2 linked regions of the Cricetulus griseus genome follow. The protein of the gene in region 1 interacts with the protein of each later gene in a biochemical or structural test. Links are inferred from orthologs where the notes say so. Each region holds a gene or a part of one and is shown on either strand. Other genes may lie near its edges.

The links.
Region 2: the proteins of Cdk4 (region 1) and Sertad1 form a complex in vitro, tested with the Homo sapiens proteins (2 studies listed by BioGRID). The link is inferred for Cricetulus griseus from reciprocal best matches to the Homo sapiens genes CDK4 and SERTAD1.

What each region holds. Positions count from the first base shown.
Region 1 is NW_023276806.1:130,640,749-130,646,018, forward strand, and holds the start of Cdk4 (cyclin-dependent kinase 4), read right to left. Parts: upstream 3,260-5,270; 5' UTR 3,102-3,259; intron 2,647-3,101; 5' UTR 2,627-2,646; coding exon 2,409-2,626; intron 2,265-2,408; coding exon 2,129-2,264; intron 2,023-2,128; coding exon 1,855-2,022; intron 1,703-1,854; coding exon 1,593-1,702; intron 1,067-1,592; coding exon 1,016-1,066; intron 702-1,015; coding exon 566-701; intron 87-565; coding exon 1-86.
Region 2 is NC_048602.1:8,435,835-8,441,155, forward strand, and holds the start of Sertad1 (SERTA domain-containing protein 1), read right to left. Parts: upstream 3,077-5,321; 5' UTR 2,943-3,076; intron 2,348-2,942; exon of another isoform or gene 2,253-2,347; intron 919-2,252; exon of another isoform or gene 533-918; intron 433-532; 5' UTR 430-432; coding exon 1-429. UniProt on the Homo sapiens protein: Acts at E2F-responsive promoters as coregulator to integrate signals provided by PHD- and/or bromodomain-containing transcription factors. Stimulates E2F1/TFDP1 transcriptional activity.

The DNA.
Region 1 (5,270 bases):
GGGTCACTCTCTTCCTTGTGTAGGTAAGAGTGCTGCAGGGCTCGGAAGGCAGAAATCCGCTTATGTGGGTTAAAAGTCAGCATCTCCTATGAGGGGAGGCAAAGGTCAGAAACCAGCCGAGGGGGATGATGCCCACCCCAAAACGCTGTGCAGGTGTTTCCTGCATCCTACCCTGCTGGCCACTCATAGCAACAGGAAAAACTACAGCCTGTCCACTAACTAGAACTTGGTTCCACAATGGCCTTGGGCCCTGTGTTGTTTCTTCTATGTTCATTGCATGTTCAAGGCAATGCTCACATAGAAATCAGGTTAGGACAGTCTGGAATGCCGGTACTTCCCTTCCGCCTTGTTTGAGAGTTTCTTGTTAGTGCTGTATTAACCAGACTATCTGACCTGTGAGCTTCCAGGGAATTCTATCTCCACCACCCATTTGGTATTAAGAGACACTATAGAAGCTCACTGACACATAGCTTTTACTCGAGTTCTGGGGATTCAAACTCAGGTCCTTACACTTATGCCCTAAAAGCTTTATCACAGAGCCACCTCCCTGGCCCATGCCCACTACCAGCAGCAGCTGTGCTCCAGATTCCTCCATCTCCGGTACCACCGACTGCACAGGCCGCGGCCCTCTGGGGGAAAAGGCTCCTCGGGGAAGAGATACCTCTCGAGGCCAGTCATCTTCTGGGGGCAATCCAATGAGACTGTAGGGATAACACAAATCTGGTCAGGGGGGCTTTTTCCAGTTTCCATCTCCAGGGCCAACTGCCATTTGGAATTGAGCAGAAACTGAATTAAGAATGGGGAATTTTAGCCGGGCGGTGGTGACTCATGCCTTTAATCCCAGCACTTGGGAGGCAGAGGCAGGCGGATCTCTGTGAGTTTGAGATCTTGTAGACCAGCCTGGTCTACAAGAGCTAGTTCCAGGACAGCCTCCAAAGCCACAGAGAAACCCTGCCTCGAAAAAAACAAACAAAAAGGGGGGGGGGGATTTCTTTCCCCTTTATTGGACACTTACTCAAAGATTTTGCCCAACTGGTCAGCTTCAGAGTTTCCACAGAAGAGAGGCCTAAGGTAGAAAAATATTCCAAGTATATATTATTTCAGAAATAAGGGAATGATAATCAAAGTGGCTGAGATTAGAGAGGACGGAGAATAAGGGAACACAAAGTTCCTAATTCCTAGACATTTCAGGAAATTTGCCTGCATCGTTTCTGGTTTTAGGCAAGTTGGTGAACATAAACAGGATAGGTTGGGACTATAGCTGGGTGGCAGGGCACGCGCCTGATAAATACAAGAGCCTAGGTTGGGGCGTCCAGTGCCATATGCACAAAAATGGTCAAGAACGGGTATGTCTTGTAAAAAGACCCAGGGGCGGGGAGTGTAGTTTAGTGGTATAGAGCATTTGCCCAGTGTATGTGCAGTTCTGATTTCAACCTCTAACACCATAAGTAACATCAAAAGATTTGTGTAACTGAAGGGACCTAAGAGTTCCACACCCTGAGCCAGGTGGTGGCGGCAGGCGGATCTCCGAGGGAGTCACAGGACAGCCAGGGCTACCCTGTCTTAAAAAACAAAAGTTTCAAGCCCCGTACTTTCGACGAAACATCTCTGCAAAGATACAGCCAACGCTCCACATGTCCACGGGTGTTGCGTATGTAGACTGCAGAAGAACTTCAGGAGCACGGTACCAGAGTGTAACAACCTAAACAGAAGAGGAGAAACGAGTGAGAGTCCTTTTCATGGCTCATAGCTGCTGGGCTTTGAGAACGTCAAGCACAACACACCTCAGCTGCTACGGGAAATCAAGTACTACCTAAAGCCGAATCCCATTGGGGCTGCCATCTTTCCACTCACCACAGGTGTGAGGGCCATCTGGTAGCTGTAGATTCTGGCCAGGCCAAAGTCAGCCAGCTTGACTGTCCCATTACTAGTCACCAGAATGTTCTCCGGTTTCAGGTCTCGGTGAACAATGCAATTTGCATGAAGAAAATCCAGGCCGCTTAGAAACTGTCGCATCAGGTCCTGGTTTTGAAGGAGAAAGCCCCGGACACCATGTAACACGCTCAAAAACCCCAAGAGTCCCTACTACAAAGACCCGGATCCACCTCTCACCGAGCAGCCCGCTCACCTTGATGGTCTCAACTGGCAAGCCTGGTGGGGGTGCTTTATCCAGGTATGTCCTCAGATCCTGATCTATATGCTCAAACACGAGAGTGACCTTGATGTCTCGATCAGTTCGGGAGGTAGCACAGACATCCATTAGCCTGACAAAAATAAACAGTCGCCAGCCGGTCAATGTCCTTTGTTCCAACGTGGCCTCTGGAGTCCTAGGGTCCCACTCCCGACGACCACACCCCTGGCTTACAGATCCCATTCTTTCCTCCCCACTCCCAATCCAACCTCCTCACCGTACAACATTGGGGTGCTCGAAGGCCTCCAACCGCCTCAGTAAGGCCACCTCGCGTACAGTGCTGATGGGAAGGCCCCCTCCAGCTCCCCCTCCGTTGGGAACTCGCACACTCTTGAGGGCCACAAAGTGGCCACTGTGGGGATCTCGGGCCTTGTATACCGTCCCATAGGCACCAACACCGATTTCAGCCACCGGTTCATAGCGGGAGGTAGCCATTCTCGGAGCAGGGAGATCTCCTACAATCACAGAGGCTTCTAAAACCAAGCCCTCCTTTCCTTCACAGCTAGGAGGGGGGATGACCCAGCAGTAACAAAGGAATTCCTGCCCACGACCGCACCGACACAGCCGCCCATCCCCTCCCTCCACGCTGCCAGAGTGCCGCGCCTCAGGTAACACAAAAGACTCTCCCACCGAGCCCTCCAGCCACGTGATGTCCCGGAGGGGCGAAAAAGAATGCATTCCTCCCGGGGAGGAGGAGGGGGGAGAACGGGACATCGCACCGGGCACAAAGAAGACCATCACAATGCACGGCGTTGGCATCGAAGGTTGCACACTTTATTCCCTAAAATCACACGCTGGCCGCGACCACAAAGGCCCCGCTTCCCGCCCTTGGGCCATCCTTCCACAACGAGGGGATCCATAGGGTGGTGGCGGGGCGCCGGGCCCCATCCCTGCAAGCGGCTGCACTCACCTCTCGCCCGGCCAAGAGCTGCGGAGGTGGCCCTTTATCTGGGCCCGGGAGCCGGTTCCTGCGGCGCCATACACCGGGGATCGGTCCCGGGCAGCTGGACGCTACGGGCCAGACCATAGACACGGGCCGCGAGCTAGAGAGGCCCCCCTCACCCCCACCCTCCCCATGTGACCAGCAGCCAGGGAGGCGCGCGGAAACCGGGGGGGGGGGGCGAACGCCGGACGTTCGCGGCGGACACGTGGTCTCCATCCATCCATCCATCCATCCATGCATGCGCAGTGGATGACCTGGGATGGGGGGGGCGAAACTCGCTCGGGCACGTGACCTGTTGCTATCCCACGTGACCCCTCAGCTCTGCGCTGGGAAGCAGAGGCGTGGCTACGCCGCCTACCACGTGACCCGCCGCCAGTCCCTGACTGCCGAGGGGGTGTGTGGGGGCGAGGGAGGGTGGAGCACCAGGCGGTGCCATGGCAACCGGGCCAGCCGGCTCTCAACTCTGGGCTCAAGGCCGAGCCTGTGCGCATCTCTCCGTCTCACTCCTTGTCTGGACGTGGGCGGGGAGGTCCGGGTGCTAGTGGGAGATCCTGGTACCAGAGATGGGACTGTCACATTTTTCACTCCAGCGCCATGGGGAAGGAGCATTCGTATACTGTGCCTTCGTTTTACTCATTCATTCAACAAAAATTTTACTAAGGGCTCCTTTCCAGTTGGTATGTGATGTTTTTGTTTTGGTGTCTCAGCCATTCGCCCTCTGAAGTAATGATGAGGGTATCTAATGTAGGCAAGTGTGGCCCCTTATGAAACAGGGAGTACGATTCCTATCCAAGAAGGAAACTAGGGCTAAAAGATGGACAGCAGGATTAATATACTCAGTCACTGTATGGGAAGAGTGGCAACGTAATGCCCTCCCCTCTTCCAACTTGCAAACCTCCCTGGGAATATTAAAAGCAGCAAGGAGTTATTGGAAACTCTGTTGTTTTGTTTTTTTTCGAGACAGGGTTTCTCTCTGTAGACCAGGCTGACCTCGAACTTACACAGATCTGCCTGCCTCTGTCTCCCAAGTGCTGGGATTCTGAGATTAAAGGCGTGCACCACTACGGCCCAACAGGGTGCCTGATCTTAAAAGGCTCTTAACACTAAGATTCTGTATTGTGTTACATATGTATGTAATTGTGCATATGAACAGACAAAACGGTGAGCGTGTACAAGGGCGGTCACCAACACCACTTCAGACCACCATGTTGCCCGAGAACGTCTTGTGTCCCTCTGCAAACATGCAACTCATCATTGGTGTCACATTCCTTTTTATTTCTAATGCAGCTTTCTTAGAGCTACTCTTGCCCTTATGGGCATTTCCCAAGTGGTCTGTGCCCACAGAAATCTAGGTAGACAGGTAGATTTGGCATTCGTTGTGTTGTGGGCTCCAACTCCTTTGTTGTCTCCCACCATTTGGGGAATAAAAGACCATGTACCCATCTGTGAGAAACTCTAAAATCTAGAGCTGTTTTAAAATTGTTTTTTAGCCAGGTGGCAATGGCTCACACCTTTAATCCCAGCACGGGATAGGCAGAAGCAGGCATCATGATCTCTGTGACTTTGAGGCCTGCTTTGTCTACAGAGCTAGTTCCAGGATAACCAAGGCTACCCAGAGAAATCCTGTCTCAAAATAAAGTAAGATTGGTGGGGCTCAGTGGTTAATACTGCCTTGGCTTCCAAAGATCCTGAGTTCAATTCCCAGCAACCACATGGTGGCTCACAAGTATCTGTAATGAAATCTGGTGCCCTCTTCTGGCCTGCAGACATACTCACAGGCAAAACACTATGTACATGATAAGTCTTTTAAAAAAATAAAATTGGTTTTTGAAGCCAGGGATTGGAGTCAGTGTTTTCTTCGTTCAATTCCTGTGCTATGTTCCCAAACACTAAACTCTGAAATCATATTTGAGACAGTATAGTTGAAGGGCCTTAGCTTTCTAAATGCTGTTTCTACAGACATGAACAACTACTCTGGCTCTGGCTCTGTGTGTGTAATTTTGTTTTGATGAGATAAGGTCTCATATAGCTCAGGTTGGCTTTGAAATAGACATGTAAGTGGCTGGAGAGATGGCTCAGTGGTTAAGAGCACTGGCTGTTCTTCTAGAGGACCCGGGTTCTGTTCCCAGCACCCAC
Region 2 (5,321 bases), on another chromosome or scaffold:
TGGAGGCCCCTCATCGGCTTGGGGTTGGGGGACCTGGTTCAGGTCTTCAATGTGGTTGAGATCTTCCAGGAGGCTGGCCATGGAGGCTGAGAGGGCAGCGTCCGAGCTAGCCAGGAGGCTGTCTGCCACAGAGGGGGCTGTGGGTGGCATGGACACGGGTGGCAGGGAGGTTGTAGGTTCCATGGACTCCTGGATACGGCGCAGCGTGTTCACCACCAGCACCAGGTGGCGGAGGTCTGGCTCACCCTGCCGCAGGCTGTGATGGAGCTTGAGCACCGAGAGGTCAAAGAGAGAACTGGAAGCCACGGGCGGGGGGGTCTGTGCGGCTGCTGGGTGGCCTTGATCTAACCACCAGGAGTCCACCGAGAGGCCTTCCTCCTCCTTCTTCTCCTCCTCCTCCCGTTTTCGCTTTAGACCCTTGCTCAGCATTGTCTGCAGGGAGGAAGGAGCCATTCAGTTAGGGAAAGTCAATATTCAGGTCACACCCAGCTCTGACAACTGCTGTCAGCGTGAGCTTCACAAGGCAACTAACCTCCCAGTCCAGGTTTTCTAAGCAAATTCTTCCTCATTTTTAATGAGACAGGATCACACAACTCAGGCTGGCCTCGAGTTTATGATCATCTCTTACCCACAGCCCCCGTGCTGGGACTACAGGTGTATGCCACCACGCTTGGTATACTGGATGCTGGGGATGGAACTCAGGGCTTCCTGCATGTAAAGCAAACATTCCACCAACTGAGCCTGCTCAGTAAAGTTCTAAGAAACAGCTAACATCTACATTGTAAGTTGCTATATGGATTAGATTAACAAAAGAATAAAAAGCCCTTGCATCATGGTCTTTAGAACTTTCAAATTTTACTTTTATTTTATTTTTATTTTCTGGTTTTTCAAGACAAGGTTTCTCTGTATTGCTTTGGAGCCTGTCCTGGAACTCACTCTGTAGACCAGGCTGGCCTTGAACTCAGAGATCCGCCTGCCTCTGCCTCCCGAGTGCTGGGATTAAAGGCATGAGCTACAAATGCCTGGCTAATTTTACTTTTATTTTAAATTTTGTGGTGTGTGTGTGTGTATATGCACGAGAGTGTAGATGCCCAAGGAAGCCACCTGTTGGAGTCCCTGGAGCTGGAGTTACAGCAATTATAAGCCATTCCATTTGGGTGCTGGGAATCTCTTGCGTCCTCTGTAGCAATAGCAAGCTCTTTTTTTGGGGGGGTGGGGTGCAGTTTTGAGACAGGGTTTCTCTGTGGCTTTGGAGGCTGTCCTGGAACTAGCAATAGCAAGCTCTTAACAACCATAACTAGTATTTATTTGTAAGTACTTTTTGGTTTTGCTCTTTTTTATTATTTATTTATTTATTTATTTTGGTTTTTCGAGACAGGGCTTCTCTGTAGCTTTGGAGCCGGTCCTGGAACTCACTCTATAGATCAGGCTGGCCTCAAAACTCTAGAGATCTGCCTGCCTCTGCCTCCTGAGTGCTGGGATTAAAGATGTGTGGCAGTGCCTGGATGGTTTTGCTCCAGGTTTTGTGACAGGGCCTCACACTGTAGTTAGTCCAGGCTGGCTGGCTATCCCAGGCAGTCCTTCTGCCCCAGCCTCCCAAGGGTTAGGATTACAGGTAGGTGCCGCCTCTTGGCTGGAAATGCAGCCTACTTGTACAGTTCAAGGCATAGAATGTCTGCTTGGCATCAAACATTATTTAATCCAATAGAGGGAATGCACAGATAGCGATAGGAGGTACTTTGGGCAGTTTCTGTAAAGGAGATACTTCGGATCTGATGTAGGCAGTGTAGACGACAGCTATGGAGAACCAGGGGCCGGGCATTCCCGGAAGAGCCAATGGAAGACCGAGAGAGGCAAATCTTAACCGGGGAAGGGAAAAAAAAGAAAAAAGAAAAAAGAAAACCCACACAAGGAGCAAGCGCACAGAGTGACACGGTAGGAGTCCCGGTGGGGGTGGGGAGCAGGCGGGGGGGGGGGAGGCGGCTTGGATTTTCAGAGTGACAGGACAGAGTCCTCCGGGGAGGCAGGAGGGTCGAGCAGGGGGCCGAAGGCGACGTTTCGCTGACGCCGGGGGCGGGCGGGCGGGCTGCCGGTGGGGCAGCATCGGGGAGAGAGAGGGTGAGCGGGGTGGGGGCGGCCGGGGCACTGACGGCTGGAGTTTGGGGGAGCCCGAGCTGCTAAGCACAAGGAAGCGGCGGCCCCTGGAGTTAGCGGGGAGAGCCGGGGGGCCGCGGGGCTCGGCCACTGAGTACCCAAGTTTGGAGAAATCCACACTTCCTTCCATGCGGCGAGGAGACCGGAGTCTGGGACCCCGGAGTGGCATCTCGGGGGGCGGGGGGGGGGACACAAAGGATCGGGGGGGAAGGGGGGGAGGCTCAGCCCTGGGGACGCTGCCTAGACAGCCCCAACAAGACCCCGGAGTCTTGGCTCGCCCTTCCCGCTCGCCCTTTGCGCGCAGACCCTCGGCAGGCAACCGCAGGAATTCAGCCCCCGCCTCGACTCCGCCCCCGGGCGCAGGCGCCCCCTAGCGGCAGCCCGGCCAGGGCTTCCCCGGGGACTCCGGCCCCTCAGACCCGGGGCCCCGGCGAGCCGCGACCCCCGCGGGCCGCCCAGAGCCTTCCCTGGCTTCCGGAAGGCGGCAGCGCAGCAGCGGCGGCAGCGGCGGCGCGGCGGCGGCGGGGCGGGTGAGTCACGCAGCCGGAGCCAGGGAGCCTGCGCCTCCGCCCCCTTCTCCGGCTCCGGCGTGATTCACTCAGTCCGGCCCGGACGGGCGTCACGTTCAGGCCCCGGGCGCCCGCCCGGATCCCGGACAACCCCGGCGAACATCTCCCCAACCGGGGGATCGAACACGCTAAAAACACCTCGGGCCGTCGGTACTCCCACCCTCCCCCGCCTCTCTCCTCCCACCCCCCCACCACCACCGGGCCCCCTCATTTACATACCCAGATCACTCGCGGCCAATCAGAACGAAGAGGGAGCCACACGCAGCCAATCAGGAAGCGGCAGCAGGCGCATCGCTCGGCTCGCCCGGCTCCCGCAACCGCCGGCGCCCGGGACGGGAGACGCTGCTCTGACTCCGGCGCACGACTCCGGCCACTCCACAATCCTTAGTTCCCGCCCACTCGCGTGGCGGCCCCGCCCTCCCGCCCAGGGCTCGGCTCTCATTGGTGGGGGTGGGCGGAGCCTGCGGGGGGGCCGTCCCCAAGGGAGGGGAGGCGGTCCTTAAAGCGCATGCCCGGGAGCTCTCCCGGAGCCCTGAAACTAGTAGCGATTTCTCCTTACTGGGCGGGGTGACAGGTAGGGGCTTCGGAGGTTTTTTAAGGCTCAGGCGGATCACTTTGTGAGCTTGGAGAGAGGGATGAGTTCTGGGAGAGGGACGCGGTTTATTAAATCGACCTTCCTCTTGAGAGCTACCGTGTTAAGAGTGTTGTCTCCAGCCGGGCTCCGCTCTAATTAAAGACGGGAGTAAGGTGGACATGGAATAATGGCATGAGGGTCACATCCTGGACATCAGTGCCTCCGGAGTAGCGGCGTGACTTTGGACAACAGGCTAAAGCCCTCAAAATCTGTTTCCTTTCGGAGTGTGGTTGTTCACAAACCATAATCCCAGCGTGGGAAGACTGAAGCAGGGGCATTGCTGGGAGTTTGAAGCCAGACTGAGTTCCAGGCCAGCCTGGGCTTCAGAGTGAGATCCTGTCTCAAAAGAAGAAAGGGCGAAATTTTTTGTTTGTTTGTTTTGTATTTTTCTGAGACAGTTTCACCAAGTTGCTCAACTTAGCCTGGAATACAAAGCAATCATCTTTCCTCAGCCCCTCAAGTAACTGGAATTAGGGGATTTTTTTTTTTATTTTATTTTTTTGAGACAGGGTTTCTCTGAGTAGCCCTGGCTGTCCTGGAACTCCCTCTGTACACCAGGCTGGCCTCGAGCTCACAGAGATTCACTTGCCTCTGCCTCAGAGTGCTGGGATTAAAGCCCTAAGCTCCACAGCTGGCCTTTAACTAGTCTTAAAGATGCCAGGGGAGATGCAGTTCAGCGAAAGAGTGCTTGCCTAGCATTCCGTCATGTTAAACACCTGTGTTTGATTACAGCACTGAAGAAAAAAAAAAAAAAAGCCTGATGATTTACTAAGAGTAGAGTAGAATGTTTAGGTGCTTATTGGTTAAAAGCACTTGCTCAGGGCTGGAGAGACGGCTCAGAGGTTAAGAGCACTGGCTGCTCTTCCTGGAGACTGGGTTCAATTTCCAGCATCCAGCTCACAACTGTCTGTTCCTCCAGCTGCAGGGGATCTGACACCCTCGCACAGACGTACATGGAAGCAATGCAACAATGCACATAAAATAAAAATAAATAAATTATTAGAAGCACTTGCTCTCAAAGAGGACCAGGTTCAGTTCCTAGCACTCACGTAGCAGCTCACAGCTGTCCTTCACTCTAGTTCCAGGGGGTCTGGGATCCTCTTTGGTGCCTAGGCCCCAGGCACACATATGATGCACAGACATTCATTCAGTCAAAACACATATACATGAAAGATTCATTTTTATGGCCTGGACAAAAGGAGTCTCAGAAATTGCTGGGCATGGTGGCACACCATTATCATCCAACATGAAGAATACAGAGGCCAAGAGAATCAGGAGTTCAATGTCAGCTTGTGCGTTATAACTCTGAAGTGTCAAGCAAAGCAGCCTAGAGCCTGCTAATAGCTCAAGTGGCTCACAGGTCACACACTAAACAGCTCATGGGAGCTGTTTTGTTTTTTAACTTACATCAGTTGAGTATCTATTATGGATAGGCTGTGTACAAGCATAACAACTCTCCATAGTTGACATGTTTTTTCTTATTCTTGGTCAGGGGAGAGGACAAAGGCCAAAAAGAAACTTAGCCAGCTTGACTACTGTAATCCTACTACCTAGGAAGCTGAGGCAGAAGGATGCACTGTTTAAAATGATTCTGGGAGTAGACTCTTATCTCAAAAAAACCAAACCAAACAAAAAACAAAAACAAAAAACAATCTAGGGCTGGCAAGGTGGCCCAGTGGGCAAAGGTGCTTGCAGCCAAACACTACTTCCTAAGTTTGATCTCCAGAACCCACATGGAGGAAGGAGAGAACTGACTTCCTCAAGTTCTCCTCTGACCTCCACACAAGTGCTGTGGCATGTGTACACACACACACACACACACACACACACACTAAAAATATAAATGTAAAAAATAAAATCAAGCCAGGCAGTGGTGACACACGCCTTTATTCCCAGTACTAGGAGGCAGAGGCATAGGCAGGCAGATATCTGTGAGTTCGAAACCAGCCTGGTCTACAGAGCGA